Linked DNA regions of Drosophila melanogaster. The protein of the gene in region 2 interacts with the protein of the main gene of each other region in a pairwise test. Each region holds a gene or a part of one and is shown on either strand. Other genes may lie near its edges.

The links.
Region 1: the proteins of CG15631 (region 2) and CG32428 interact in a two-hybrid assay, tested with the Drosophila melanogaster proteins (one large-scale study listed by BioGRID).
Region 3: the proteins of CG15631 (region 2) and ZIPIC interact in a two-hybrid assay, tested with the Drosophila melanogaster proteins (one large-scale study listed by BioGRID).

Annotation. Positions count from the first base shown.
Region 1 is NT_037436.4:20,468,869-20,475,369, reverse strand, and holds CG32428 (uncharacterized protein), read left to right. Parts: upstream 1-1,997; 5' UTR 1,998-2,395; coding exon 2,396-2,729; intron 2,730-4,221; coding exon 4,222-4,416; coding exon of another isoform or gene 4,417-4,475; exon of another isoform or gene 4,476-5,347; intron 5,348-5,385; coding exon 5,386-5,573; 3' UTR 5,574-5,696; downstream 5,697-6,501. Other genes in the region: isoQC (iso glutaminyl cyclase), read right to left, coding at 727-843; CG5969 (uncharacterized protein), read right to left, coding at 1,093-1,338, 1,401-1,472; Tdh (L-threonine dehydrogenase), read right to left, coding at 5,920-6,238, 6,299-6,404.
Region 2 is NT_033779.5:4,731,658-4,736,299, reverse strand, and holds CG15631 (uncharacterized protein), read left to right. Parts: upstream 1-1,841; 5' UTR 1,842-1,873; coding exon 1,874-1,994; intron 1,995-2,045; coding exon 2,046-3,793; 3' UTR 3,794-3,887; downstream 3,888-4,642. Other genes in the region: fipi (factor of interpulse interval), read left to right, coding at 1-451, 533-753.
Region 3 is NT_033777.3:30,034,435-30,038,555, reverse strand, and holds ZIPIC (Zinc-finger protein interacting with CP190), read left to right. Parts: upstream 1-1,685; 5' UTR 1,686-1,754; coding exon 1,755-3,128; 3' UTR 3,129-3,316; downstream 3,317-4,121. Other genes in the region: janB (janus B), read left to right, coding at 28-183, 241-365, 427-516; ocn (ocnus), read left to right, coding at 911-1,121, 1,176-1,300, 1,356-1,466. UniProt on the Drosophila melanogaster protein: Insulator DNA-binding protein. Recruits Cp190 and cooperatively binds to chromatin promoter regions to exert transcriptional regulator and chromatin insulator functions.

The DNA.
Region 1 (6,501 bases), on a different chromosome or scaffold from region 2:
AAGACTACGTGGCTGAGTGTTTTTGTTCGGCGGTGGGAGTGTTGTGTCCCAACAGGTGGTTGCAATCAATAGCGGCAGGTTCGTAAGAAGTTTAAAGATTGGTCATCCGGCTGCGCAACTATTTTGCGGCACACTCCGGCTTGTACTTAAGACCCTTTGGCGAGTCTATTAAATTATCATTTTGGCCAGTTTTTACGGCCGACTTGTAAGGCACAAAATAACAAAAATGGGCGTCGCAAAGGGGGTCAAAATGCTAACGAAAATAACACTGTCTATAGGTAACGCTCGTTGTGGGTGTCTATTTGTTTCCCATCAGTAATTTATTGCACTCCTCTCAAAAATCATTTAATTTCCTTGTTTACTAATTCAACCAAAATCGTTTTGTTTACGCGTATTATTTAAACAGCTGCTTGCCATTTGTATCAGGTGGCAGCACCAGTCCCGAACAGGTGGCACCCCCATAAAAACAGGTCACGGGCGTGTCTAGATTTAATGAGCAGGGGTCTTAAGCAATGGTTACACGAAATATTCAGTTCACTAGCCATTCTCTTCTTACAAAATAATAAAATGACTAATTTGTGCTTCAATCAAAAAGAAAACATATAATATAAAATTCAAAAACATAAAATTAATTTATCAATATAATAAAATCCCCGAAGTCAGTATACTTTATACAGAACTCCCCTTTCAAGCAGAGAGTACAAATAAATGTATGTTTTAGTTAACCTTAGGAATATCCACCAGTTCGAAGCAAGCGCCTAGATTGTAGATTTTTTTGCGCGGTCTCGGCAGCAATCTTTTGACGGCCTCCATTAGGGAATAATTTCTGAGTAGCAGACGCATTTCACTTATGCATGTATATTTTTAATACAAATTATGCACACAGAACACTACACAACACAACACGTTTTCCACGCTGTTATCGAAACTTATGCAATGAAAAGCGATTACACACGGTTTACAGGCGACTTTCTCCTCCCTCGCTGGCATGTAAACAATTGTATCTATATATGTAGCATGTATGTATGTACAAGAGTGCTCTACCGACTTAAAGTTAATGGAAATAGGGTAACAGTCCGGGGTAGATGAGGATTAGTCCGTTTTGGAGCCCTTGGAACCGGGTGCCCCAAAGTAGGCCCTGTATATATAGAGTCCCAGGGCGATGTGCAATGCAACGACCGCTCCCACGGCGGATGCTATGTTCACTTTGACTTCGGAAATGTCGAGGAACTGGTCCAGAACGAAGCCCTTCAGCACAAAGAAGGTCAGCACGGGCAGGAAAACGATAAGCATGCAGTAGAAGAGCACTGTCTTGAAGGAGCTGTAGTCCTGCGAGTCCTGGGCATCCAAAATAAACAAGGGATTAGCTAGCCGGCAATCGGAGCCGTCATGTTACATACGTGCGACTGCTGGCGGGTTTGTTTCGGCGCAACTCCGTTGCCTCCGGCGGCTTTCTTGTTCTTGGTCGACATCTTTTCAGTTAAATAGAATGCAGCTTAATTGAAAAATCAGCAATTTCTCTCAATTTCTAGTTTTGCTTTGGTCTGCCATTCGGTTATCAGAAATATTTGACAAATCACAAATCACATGATAAAGTGGTAGTACCGTGCCAGCATTCAAAATATACCAGAAAATACTGCGACTAGTCGATTAATCGTTGGTATCGTTGCTATCGAAATATTTTCAACTAAATTCTCATTTTTTAATTCATTTTAATTGAGTAAAAAGTTAAAATTATATCAAAATAAAAGAGAAGTATTGAAGCTATTTCTTTAGGTATACAAAATGAAGTGTCATATTTGTTCAAGTAACATATTGTACGCTGTTTCGCGATTTTCGATAATTATAAATATAAATATATATAAATTATAAGTTTCCATGACTTCCAATGAGATTCATAAGATCTGCACTATTTTTGCAACCACAGCTGTCTTTTCGCAACTTCTTCGGTATTTTTCTCCAGGGTCGCACGCCTTATTGCGACACCAGCAGTGTGGTCACACTGGAGCGAAAGGAAAACAAAAGAGCAATCGTGAATCGAAAGGCGCACGCGGCAAAATGTAAAACTTGCTTATTGGTTTATTTTTAACAGTTGCCGTCACCGCATTTACAGTCGCATTTCGGCCGAATGCTCGCGCGCCCCGCTTGCGTGTGTTAATTGAATTATTTCATCCATTTTAGCAACTGCTGCGTATTTTCGGCGCTTATTAAGCCGACAGAGCCATCAAAATCCATACTGCATACAAATACGATTTCAATTAGGGGAAAAATACGCGCCTGCAGTTCGCCGCACGATTTCGTACAGTACAGTACGGACGCAGAGGAGCGTTTTTTCCGAATTTACTGTACTTGCTTTTCGGTTTTTTTGGGGAAATTCCACTGCAGCTGGCGCGCGATGGTTTTGACGAACTTCGAGTGCTGGGCACATGGTGATCCGTCGTCGTCGGCGGCCGCCACTTTCGAAACTGGAGCGCTGCGTCCTTCGATGGATCCGTTCAATCCACGCGCCGTCACCTTCATGACCGACGCCAACAACAACAACAACAACAATGATGGCAATAACCTCGCGGCACAACCGATGCCGGTCGTCCTGCCTCCGGAAGTCCTGCGCTGCAAGAAGCGCCTGAATCCCGGTCACAATCCTGTCGGGGATTTGGACACGGACCAACCGGTGTACACCAAGAGATGTCGCTACGACGAGTCTGACTTGGCCGCCCAGTACTGCAATGGTGAGTATCGCTGCTCAAAAATGCAAGCTTAGTTATTTAATTATTAAATTGTTTAAGGCAGTTTTATATTAGGCTTACTTAGCAATTGCACATGCAATAATTCCAATAAATAAATTTGTTGTCGAGCAGCCTTTAAATATTAAATATCCTCATTAGTTTCAGAAAACACTCAGAAATATATTATTATGTTATACTCAATCCTTTAAGAGTAATGGTTGCATTTTTTAGTGTCTCAAACCATTTTGAACTTAAATTTAACACTTGCAATGAAATTCAAATTATACTTGAACCAAATATGATATTAATTTAACTTTAAATGAGTATTGAAGGCATTTTTGTTGGTATGAATTTAAAAACCGGAACACACCAGACGACTTAAGCTGTAATTTTGTTTATAATCTCTCGACCTTGGCTCTTATGCCCGCGCATTTAATTGGTGTTGCGTGAAAGTGTCGTAAAACTTGTAAATTTACACAATTATCTCTGACCTTGCGGCCCCATTTCTTCTCCCATTGGCTCTCCCAGCGACCTGTGTTATCACTGTTCAGTTATTCGGTGGGATCCGGACTATCTGTGGCATACAGAGGGTACCGGACTCGAAACGATAGCACTTGACAGCCGCTTAAATTTAGCAAAGAAAAACCGGCTTGACTCAGTCTTTATAGACATACATATGCATATATGTATATCGGTGTGTTTGGCCTACTAAACAAAACACACAAGTAGTGGGGATTAACTGGAGGTACTGCGGAGATGACTATGTACACTGGGTCAACAGAGTGTTACGATTCTTCTTACACCGCCAGTTTAATCAATCTGCATTCGCAAAAGTGTTCCAACAATAGAAGAAAACAAAGGGGGAAGGCAGTGTGGGCGTAAATATATACAGCCGGTAAAAGAAATGTGTATATCTGCGGGAGTGAATCAATAATCTATACTCTTTCTGAGGGTATAAACGCTTCTTAAATGTTTTTAAGTGATTTCAATGATATGTACGAATATTTCATTTAGTTTTGTCCACGATTTACTTAAATATATATCTCAATTTTTTTGATCTATATTAATATTTTTAAAAGGGGTACAAAATAATAGAAATACAATTTTAAATGTTTTCTATTGGAATAAATATACATATGTATTTTTGCAACTATGACTACACTTAATTAGTTGTTGTTAATCTGTGCACTCCGTTTTGCCTTCGTTACCTTATAGTTTCCGATTGCGTTGATAAGGTTATCAGCACAAACAAAAAGCAGAAAAAAAGAAACTAACTCGTAGATAAGAAATGACAACACACTGCTCTGCTCCGAATTGGTTATAAATAAACGATCGGTAATTGGGCCAAGCATCGATAGTGTCAACGTGTTGCGTTGCATTGCCGTTGCACTGAGAAAAATCGGAATAGACTTCAGTTTGTACATACAATTATAATAAATTGTAAATTATTTTATATAAGTTAATGTAACTTAATGATCGGTTTATTGCCTTGCAGATTTCTTTTCCTTGCCTGCCACACAAATAATTGGAACGCAGGCCTCTTTGATGGATTACGAGATGCAGGCCACCGGCGGCATGATGATGATGGAATCGGAGACGAGTTTTCCAGCGCAGCAGCAGCAACATCAAGAGCAACAGCAACATCCACAGCAGCCACATCAATATCAGCGCATTCATCAGCATTATCAAGGTCATTTGCATCGCGCCAACCGTGATGTGAGTCGTTGCATGATGTCGCACATGATTTAGGGGCCCTCGTTCACACAAAACTCAAAATGTACATATATAACCCAAAACATGTACTGTAGCTGAGAAAAGCGCACAAGAAACACATGCAACAGTTCACCGAGCGACGCGTCTCTCTTTATTTGCTAAACAGCCGACAATGTATCGAAAAATGTTCGCATATCACTCAGAAAGCAAATTAACGCAAAGGAGCAATTGAATTGAAAATATCCGCAATGCACATACCTACCATATACCAAAAATTCAAATTTTGTAAAAAAAAAAAACAATCAGCTAACGACTCAGCCAATAAGTATTCTGTATAAATTGTTAAACTCACGAACTATTGTACAAACAACAGCTAAGTCGAACATCGAACATAAACTGTACTTAACTACCTAAAGAATTGAAATACGTAATTAATTTCAAAAAGTAATAGTTAGACCTGCGAAACATTGCAATCACAAAAAAGCAAGCAATATATGTTAAGTGAAATGTTCAATCAGCCTGGAGCGATTGCTGGGAGCCTTCACAAAGTGAATTTAATATGTGAAGTTGGCTGATACGCAACCATAGTCGTAAATTTATTTCTAAGGTATACTTTACCATTAGTTCAAATCGTTATCAACATATGCTTTAGGTATATTGATGACTTAGTAGCTTAAGACCGCGGTGAGTGCTTATATCTTTTGTATCAATTTTTACACTCACATATATTTGCAATAAACTTAACAGCTACCACCGATCTTTATATAAATTCTGTTATACTTAAATTTTTTTTATATACTTTATTTTTTCTATTTTATTCGAAGTTTAAGTTAATGAAGTCAGCCAACTTTTAAAGAGCACTTTGTGGAAGATCCAAACAGCAAACGCGAAAGGCCAAGTTAGTGACCCAAATTGATAGACAAATCTCCAATCTGCTCGTTTACAGAATCCGCAGAGCAACGAGTGCCGTCCCCGCAGCAAAAGTCAAGAAAATCTAATAATTCTATTGGGAAAATCAAATTAAAGTCCATAGGCAGCGAAGCCGAAGCGGACTTGTATATAGCCACACACGGCGGCAGTCTGCACCACTTTTGTGGGCTCGGCGGATCGGAGCTAGAGGAGTCTGATATATGATAAAGTAACTCCGAGCAAGAATTGTACATCCTAGCCTAAGTTGTAATATAAGCTGTCGCAAACTAAAGGTGCTTACCAATAGTATTTGAGTTCGAATAAACCAAAAGCTATCGTGCGAAACTCACATCAATAATCGAAAGTATTTCCATGTGCTGAAGAACTTTAAGATCACAATTCTTCAAGATGAAATGAACCAATAGTTTTCCTTTCCAATAAATGCCTTACTGTATTTTAAAAGGTAAAATGTTACAGTGGTTTGTGTTGCTATTCACTAGATAAATGCAGTGTTAAATGCGATTGGATTTCATTACTTAGCAATACTAGATGCGGTTGTTCGATCCACGTCTTAGATCTGCAGAGTCTGCTGCTCCGGCTGAACATTAATGTAGTTATCCTGCACGTCCTTGATCATGAAGTCCACCAGGTTGGACAGGTCGTACTTGTGCTGCCAGTGCCAGTCGCGCCGCGCATCGGAGTCATCGAATACCTGCGGCCAGGCGTCTGCGATCAACTGGCGGCTATCTGGCTTGTAGGTCACGTGCAGATTGGGCACGTGCTTGCCCAGCTGGGCGAACAGCTCCTCGGGAGTGAAGGACATGGCGGTCACGTTGTAGACGCGGCGCTTCAGCTGTTCGTTGGGAGCACGCATGAACTCGAGGAGAGCCCTAGTTAGATGGGTCATTAGTAACAAAGAAATAGTTTGTTACAATGCACTTATTACTCACCGCAAACAATCTTCAATGTACATCATGGGCAGTCTTGTGTCAGGACGCAGGTAGCAGGTGTACTTTCCATTGCGCAGCGCTTCATGGAACACGGCCACAGCGTAATCTAAAAGTTGAAACAAATAACAAATGTGAAATGTTAAAGCAGGACTTGTTTTTGGTACATTATAAATTTGTATAAAGCTGCAGAAATGATTCGATTC
Region 2 (4,642 bases):
TACGCCTACATAAACGGAACTGCGACTCTTATGTGCGAGGCACTGGCGGAACCTCCAGCGAATTTTACATGGTATCGCAAACACAACAAGCTGCACAGCAACAACAGACTGTACACGATCCAGTCGGACAGCTACTGGTCGAGTCTGACCATCCATGTGCTGAACACCAGCGCCTTCGATAACTACAGGTGTCGCGCCAGGAACGATCTGGGCACCATCGAGAGGACCACGCGACTGGAGCAGGGCGAGAAGCCTCCGTCACCGGCCAACTTCCAGCTGCGTGGCTTCAATTCAAACACCTTCGATGTGGTACTGAGTGCTCCACGAGGTCCTCCCGACAGTCCCATGGGGGTCAATGGATTCCGCATCGAGTACATGACCGAAATGGAGTTCAAGACGGATGCGGGCAAGTGGACCAATGCCAGGCGGAAGGATTATGCTTTCGAGGAGGGTGAGTTAAGCTTTAAAATATAGATAAAAGCTATCTCTTGCTACATTCGATATGTAAACTCATGGATTCTATAAATTTTAGGGGCTACCTTCCTTCTGACGAACTTAGAGCCAGATACCGTTTACCTGGTGCGGGCCGCATCACGGAATCTGGCCGGATTCAGTGACTTCACCAAGGTGGAGAAGTACAAGACACTTTCGCTGGAGCCCCGAGTCTCTTCGGGAGTCAAGGAGACCAGAAATATGTGCGTGGAACTGGGTGTGATGACACTAATGGTCCTGATGCGGCCGTTCCTGGGATGAATCTGAATCTGCAGGCGGATGAAGGATGACAGGTGATGCACCTAGCGGAACCGGAAACCAGGACCTTAAACCCCATGTGCTTTGTATAGCTATAAGGCGTGTCCACACGGCGACACTTTTCTGTCTGATTTGCTCGGTCTAAGTAATTTGGTTTACTCTTAAGTTCAGTGCGTTAATGTAACCTTAAAGAATGTTAAGTTTAGTAAGAATTTCTATTACGCTTTCAGTGCTTCGATTTGAATGATATTAGTGGATCACTTATAGGATATTTATATGTATTTAAACAAATCCTCATAGCAGTTAGACATAATCAATGGTTTGCTGGCCTTGGCTCCCCAAAATTATGCAAAACTAAAGCTTTGCTCAACATTCCAGTATATATTTTAACGTGAATTGGAAGTTTTCCCTGCAACTTTGCATCTCGTTGCCAAATCTTTAAGATATAATCAGACAGTTGCCAAAACTAAAAAAGTACATTAGTTTAGTATATACAAACAAATGCCTTCCGTCATTCGATATAACTAACAATCTTTTCAACTAAACTACATAAATATATAAAGTTTTGGAATACCATTAAACGCATCAAACAATTAATATAAATATCAAGGAGCTTAACGACAGCATTTAAAAGTTTTATATGTCACATAATTCTTTTTAATAGTCAAAGGCCAATAAAAACAATTCCACGTGTAAATTTCCAGGGCTAAAAAATACAGAATAAAATATAGATGTAAAAATAAGTTTAAACACTTTGCCACAATACAAATATTATGCAAACGAGAGAAAAACAAACACATATTTTACAAAAGTTATTTATATTCAATAAAATTAAATGTATTTCAGCTAAAGTGGTGTAAAATCTAAACCATAATACCTAGCCAAAGATTTAATATTTTCCAACTTTCGTTTGCCAATTGTGTGTGAGCCATAATAAAAGTTATGAATATCAAACCAGAACCGTTTGTGCTTCGATTTATTGATGTATAAATCAGTAAGTAAATAGAATATAAATATTTTAGTAAAAAAAATGCCTATTAGTTGGCGTAGCTTTTAGTGTTAATTTCTAATATTCGGCTCAAAAATTATATACAAAAAGTACAAAGCATAAAAATGTTGCAAGATGGAAAAACGAGCTCATTATTTTAGTCAGAACTCGAACCAGCCGCTAAATGCAGACTTTAATTTAGAAGATCAAATTATGAGGAATTCACAAAAAATATATAGGTTTAGCTCAGATCCGGGTGAGTAAAGCTTGCTAATAATGAATACATAAAATTAAAATTTTTATTTAGAATACAATAGAGTATATCAGCGGTATATGGCAACCCTCATCCGTGTGCAAAATTCCATGCATAGAAGATTTCAATCCAGGACCACTCTAAAATTGCAGGGCTCACATAGCCGCCTCTCAGCTGGCGGATTCTGTACGAAATTCAATAAATCCGGAAAGGAGAAAAAAAATAAACACAACCAAAGCCACGACCAGCAAAATGATACCTGTAAGCCTTCTTGCTCGAAGCCAACTGATTGCGCCACAAATGATGAACCTTCCTGCCGGGGCAATAAAAGTGCATCCGATAAAAGCCTGAAAATCACCCGCTGTTCCATACCGGAACCCAATAAGTCCCCACGCAGCGATGGACACGAGAACCAGCGTCAGAGCTGTGTGTCCTTTGAAGAGCCCGCGGCCAAGGATATTCCCACATTTGATCTGCACTTCCGGGACACCTCATGTACGGTGTCCCATGATTCCAGCCTGTCCTCCATCAACGTTTGCTATAGCCAAGAGCAACAGAGGGATATTACAAAATCTTGTCCCGCTCAAACGCCGAAAGAGCCAGCCCCTCAACGGATGAAGGAGTCGTCCAGGAATCAAACAGCTTCACGATTTTGCATGAGACCGTTGATTGTGGTGCCCACAGGTGGAGGAATTAAACAATTAAAGAAGGATCAATCTGAGAATTCCAAAATAGTTAGCACAGATCACTCCAAGTCGAAGTCTGCACACCACACGAATAGTTCTCGAAAATCCACAAAGAAGCAAGCAAAGAGTCACCGCCTTATTAAGTCTCACAGCTCTAAAGATTCTTTAGCAAATCGTGGTCAGCCTACAGTGGAAATTGAAGAAACTTTTCCAAATTCAATCTGCACTTCCGATACCCACGAATCCTGTGACTGCAAGAGCGAAGACCAATTTTGCTGTTACTATATACCAGAGGAGCCCCATTGCTCGCAGAATCCACCGCCATGTTCCAACTGCCCGGCTATATGCGACTTATCCAACCAATTGGAGGAGATGAATCGACGTTTGGAGGGCCTTCACAGCCAGGAACTCTGCGATATCCGCACGCAGGTGAATAGCCTCAATGCCAATGTTCAGCATTTGGCCAAAGAGTGCATTCAGAAAATGGATGGCGCCAAAAGGCTGGACAAGAAGACCTCGAGCACCTGTCAGTTCTGTCATGGGCAGTGTTTGAAAATACTTGATAGCTTCTATAGGCAACTGCTGGACTCACTTTGGGATCGTTCCCTGACAGACATAGTAATATCCATATTTCTGCGAGCAGACAATGTCTATCACGTAAATGTGCGGGATCTGAGCTCGGACTGTTCCCTTGGTTGTTACCTGGTCACTGATGCGGCCATAGAGGAGGCCATCGAGTTGGGAGTTTTTCAGAACATACTCACATTTAGTGTAATTGATGTGCGGAATACCATCAAGTCGAAGAACTGCGACTTGGGCATCGTCTTTGAATACCATCATTCAAAGCGGCAGACCGGTGGTTGCGATTCTCCACTTCGTGGCTCCTGCATGGTGGGCAAGGAATATATCGGCAGGGTTCTCGGACTTCCTTTGGAGCAGCTGAAATACCTGTACTCCGTTCCGCGATCCTATACCAAAATCACTGAGCACGACACTAGGAGTGTAACTGGAAGTCAGTTACACTCAGTTTCCACTCAAACGACTTTGATGGATATGCAGACAGAAATGAAGATAAGATATAAGAAAAGTGCCCGTACAAAACTACCATCAGTTTGAAAGATATCAGTTTTAATAATATATAGCAAAAGTTATAGTTAAGCCAACTTACAACGTATTTCTAAAATTTTGTAATAAAAGACCTTATAATTTTAAAAGCCAGCATAGATCAAAGGAAATTCTGATTAGTTTCAATAAAGCTAACCGTACAGGTTGCACTGCCATTTGCACAACCGACGGACCGCATGGCAAATGGTTCATTTGTTCAACGGGCGCGGTTTGTCAATCAGCCACATCAACTGGGGCTCAACTAAGGACCCGCATATGCGCTTTTGGCCGGAATGCCTTTTTGGGGGGGCTTTTTGGGGCAAGGAATAGGAGCACTGCGTTGACAGCCGCATAAATCAGTTGAATGCCAAACGTCGGATTCGGATGCAGATGCGGATGCTGTTGCGTATGCGGATATGCATTGCGACTGGGCGCCATATTGTGCGTGGTGACTTTTATTGCCCGACCGCGCGTTAAATATTTTTCTGTCTACACACATGGACATGGATGCTCCGCTCATCATTGACATTTACCATTGGCCATCGTCATTCGCATCACAATGAGCAGCAATGAGCGTGGCCGTTATTTGGGTGCGGTTCAAAACAATCAGCCCGGCTATTTAATTTCCAAATGAGAGGAGCATTATTCGGCACAGCATGAGTTCAAATCACTTGCCCCATGTGCCCGCCAGCTTTCAATATCAACACTTTAAGTCAACGATTTGAGCGACGACAGCTGAATCAGCAGCGAAGAGAAGAGGACAAATAAATACTGCGAAAAAAAATGCAGAATTCGGCCATTTTAGGCCTGCAACCGCCAATCCGCCAATTCACCAATCCACCGGCAAGTGGGTCAGTTTCG
Region 3 (4,121 bases), on a different chromosome or scaffold from region 2:
TACAAGCCCTAATATACTTGGTTTTAGAAAAATGTTACTCAACCGATTTGATAAGTTTGGTAGGCGTTCCCCGGGTCAAGATAACCAAGGGTCAGAATCGTTATTTGTTGGTGAATATTCATACGCATGGCTTCACGAAGTATGGAAGAGTTATTGTCCGTGGCGCCGATGTTGACAATCACTGTGAGTTTCCACTGCTGGACGCTTAACCTTGAGCAGTCTTACAAATCCTTCTTTCAGTGGCGGTCTTCGACTCGATTTTGGAGGAGCTGGAACCCGAGGGCATATGTGCCAAAATCCTCGGTGGTGGAAGGATTCTCAACGAGGCAGAAAATAAAAAAATTAAGATCTATGGCACCTCCAGGGTAAGTAGAGGATCCTTGGTCCTTGAAGCACCGGCTAATGGTTCTTGATGGGTCTCCCTAGACTTTCGGCGGTGCTGATCACACAAGGACAAGGAATATACTTCAAGCGTGGACCACTTATAAGGACTTTAAGATAACCGTTAAACAATAAAGTTGCATAAATTTCGAAAATGGAAATTCAGTACTAATAAAAAGAAAATAGAATATAAAAGTAGCGCTCTTTCAATATTATTAAGGGGTAATCGAACAGGCGATTGTAATTGGCGGAATATGGTTGATATTTCCATTTCTGGAGAGAGTAGAAAGAAGAGTAATTTTGCATTTATAGTTTAGTTCATACAAAAATTTCTTTCACAAGATACAAGGGCTTAGTACTTTTTGAATGATCACATGTGCTCCGATTTTCGTGTCAGTCTTGAATTTAGCATACGACCGGAAGGCTTCTGACAAAATCAGTCTAGCTGGAGCCTTGCTACCGTTCATACCAGTTTCTTTTCGGAATATTTCATCTAAATTCCAGTGCGTTTTCCTAAAATTTTTCCAAAATGAAAACCTTGAATCTTTTGGCACCTGTTTCACAATTGTTGAAGCCCCTTCGAAGGCAAAGTTCTTCGCGCGTAAACGCCCTTTTGATAAATGTTCCTAGAGTTCAGCTTTCTAAAGGCAAGAACAAGTACCTTTTGATGATGATTCACATGCACGGTTTAACTAGGTTCGGCAGGACCATTGTAAGAGGATCCGCCTCCAAGGACCACGGTTAGTTCTAATAATCAGTATAGCTAATACGTGTTCTAATCGTTCTGTCGCCAGAGGAAATCTTTGAGGAAATCCAAAAGGAGATGGACAAAATTGGAATTTGCGCCAAATGCCTGGGTGGAGGGTTCATCAGCAACAAGGAGGACAAGAAAGTAATGAAAATTTACGGGTGCTGCAAGGTAAGTGGATGAAGTTGGCTACGATCAACCTGATTACTAAAGAGACTGCCTGCAGACTTTTGGGGAGGCGCCGCACGGCAGGACGAAGGACATACTGCTGTCTTGGACCAAATTCCAGCATTACAACATCATCTTGCCCAAAAAGAATCTGAACGCGTATCAGTGAAGGCGTTTGAAAGCTTGTTTTATTTTTCCTAACTGCCCTGTTGGCAATTTATAATACAACAAAAAATTAGTAAATACATGGCTACATATCGATTTGTTTTTTCGCTGGGTGTTACAAATTTTCAGCTTTTGATTTTGAGTTTCAGATCTGCTTTGTTGGTTAGCAGCCAAAGTTCAAATTTGGAAATTGAACCAGATCACATCGTCGATAACCGATAGCTGTGCAATCGGAGCCTTCTTCAGGGCACGGTCACACTGCCCCGAAAGTGTAAATAAATTTCAATCAAATATGAATTGCTGCATTTGTCAATTCTCGGTACGCGTACCGAAGGACATTCACACCGATACCGTCGGACATCCGCCGGTGCTGATCAGCGAACTGGTACTGCAGTGCACCCGGGGCACGAATTACGTCCTCACGGAGGAATCGTCGACGATCTGCAAGAAGTGCTGCGAGAAGCTCGCCAGATACCACAAGTCCATACAAATAGCGCGCAAGCTGCGAGGGGAGATCCTGGAACTGATCCACAGTCCCTACATGTCCAAGGACCACAAGCAGACCTCCTACAAAGAGGACGATCTCGACCGAGAGACCACCATAAGCAAATTCGATGGGAATATTGAGGAGGCACAGCAACAGGACGAGGAGGAGCAGGAACTGGAGAGCGTGGGCACCACCGTCACCCTGGTCGGTCCCGCCGGCATCGTGGAGGAAGTGGCCGAAGAGGAGCACACCTTCATTATCAAACAATCAGAGGAGGAGGATGAGTTCCACTCCGTAGACTTAGAGCTAGATATCGACAACGAGATTATCATTAACGAAGAGGAAGCCCACGAGGTAGAGGAGGTGGCCCACGAGATAGAGGAGGTGGCCCACGAGATAGAGGAGGAGGATCTGTTGCCACATGACAAGCAAGAGGCCCAGGAGGAAGACTTTTTTAAGGAAGATACCATGAGTGACTTTGACGAACATCTGGACGGCGCAATAGAGTACATAATATCCGATGGCGAGGACCAGGAGCAGGACAACGAAAGCTCCGGCGAATACACGGTCAACATACAATGCCCCAGCTGCCCGGAGAAGTTCAGCAGCCGGCGCGCTTACAATGTCCACACGAAACGCGAGCACTTTCCCGGCTACGTCTGTGATCAGTGCGGCAAGACGCTGCAATCGTACTCCGGGTTCATAGGGCACCTGCAGAACCACGAGCCCGTGAAGCAGTTCGCCTGCCCAGTGTGCCCGGAACGCTTTAGCCGCAAGTTCCGGCTGAAGCACCACATGGCCTGGCACTCCGGCGAAACGCCATACCAGTGCGATGTCTGCTCCAAGCGATTCGTTCACAAGGTGGCCCTGTACAAGCACAAGATGATCCACGACAGCGAGACCAAACGGCTGGAGTGCCAGGTGTGCGGCTTCAAGACCCGGACCAAGGCTCACTTGGAGCGGCACATGCGATCCCACACGGGGGACAAGCCCTTCGCCTGCCCGGTGTGCAACAAGCGCTTCTCCCAGATGTACAACATGAAGGCCCATCTGCGGGAGCACGAGAGTCCCGGAACCAACCGCCATCGCCGCTTCCACTGCTCCAAGTGCACGCATACTTTCATCAACGAGCAGAACTATGATGCCCACGTTCAGAGAGACGACTGCACGCCAGTTTAGCCCACTATATTGAATATATATAATAGATAATTATATATTGTGTAAGGCCCAACCCATCATCGACCATCATCGTGATCACCACCCAACCGAATGCAAGCGAAATCATTTGGATCATTACGTTCTATCCATGTACTTTTTTATTAAATCTATATGCATTTTGCTCACAAATAAAATATGTTTGATATAATAAATTTATCCGTTACTTGCATATTTCTGCGGTTATTTCAGTTTTCTTAAAAAAATATGTATAGTAAGTGTGTGTGTATGCATTAACTTATTTGAATAAATCAATCGATCGACCTCGTCCGTTCCGGCCAAGGGCCAATAAACCACCCACCCATTGTATTCCAGTATTGGTCGCTGCTGGACTGATCGAGCCCCAAATGAAATGTGCCTAATGGTAGATCGGTAGATGCAATTGACGCAATTACAATACATTGTATAAATACATAAAGTTAAGTGTGTATGCTGTGCTATAGATATACAAAAATAAAACAGATTATCTTTTGATTTTTTGTCGAGTTGAATAGAACTTTGTTAATATCATCATATCATCATCATAAAATGCACATTACAAAAATATTAACAAAATTTATTGCAGGCAGTCCGTAGTTAGTAAAAGGTAACAAACAAATCCCAATCGAGGTAAACCCATAAATCTTCCTAATAATGTGATTTTGTGCAGTAGTTCCTAAAGATCTCAGTCCCTGGCTGCGGGACTGAAACGCTTTTCGGACTCTGAACGTACGGCCGCCAAGGTGTGAACATAAAGAGGATCGTTCTCTCCTACCAATAGCTCCGAATATTCTCGTTATGGATTTACAAACGTAGAACCAACCACCACCTTTGTTTGGGTGGCTGGTGAATAGATCAGTTTTTGTTGTACAGAAAAATACATTGCCCCCGCAGAGAGTAGTTTGTGATGCTTACAAAAGCCGGTCGCCCGTACATATATAGCTTTTGATTTGTCGGAAATAGCTTCTCCAGTTGCTA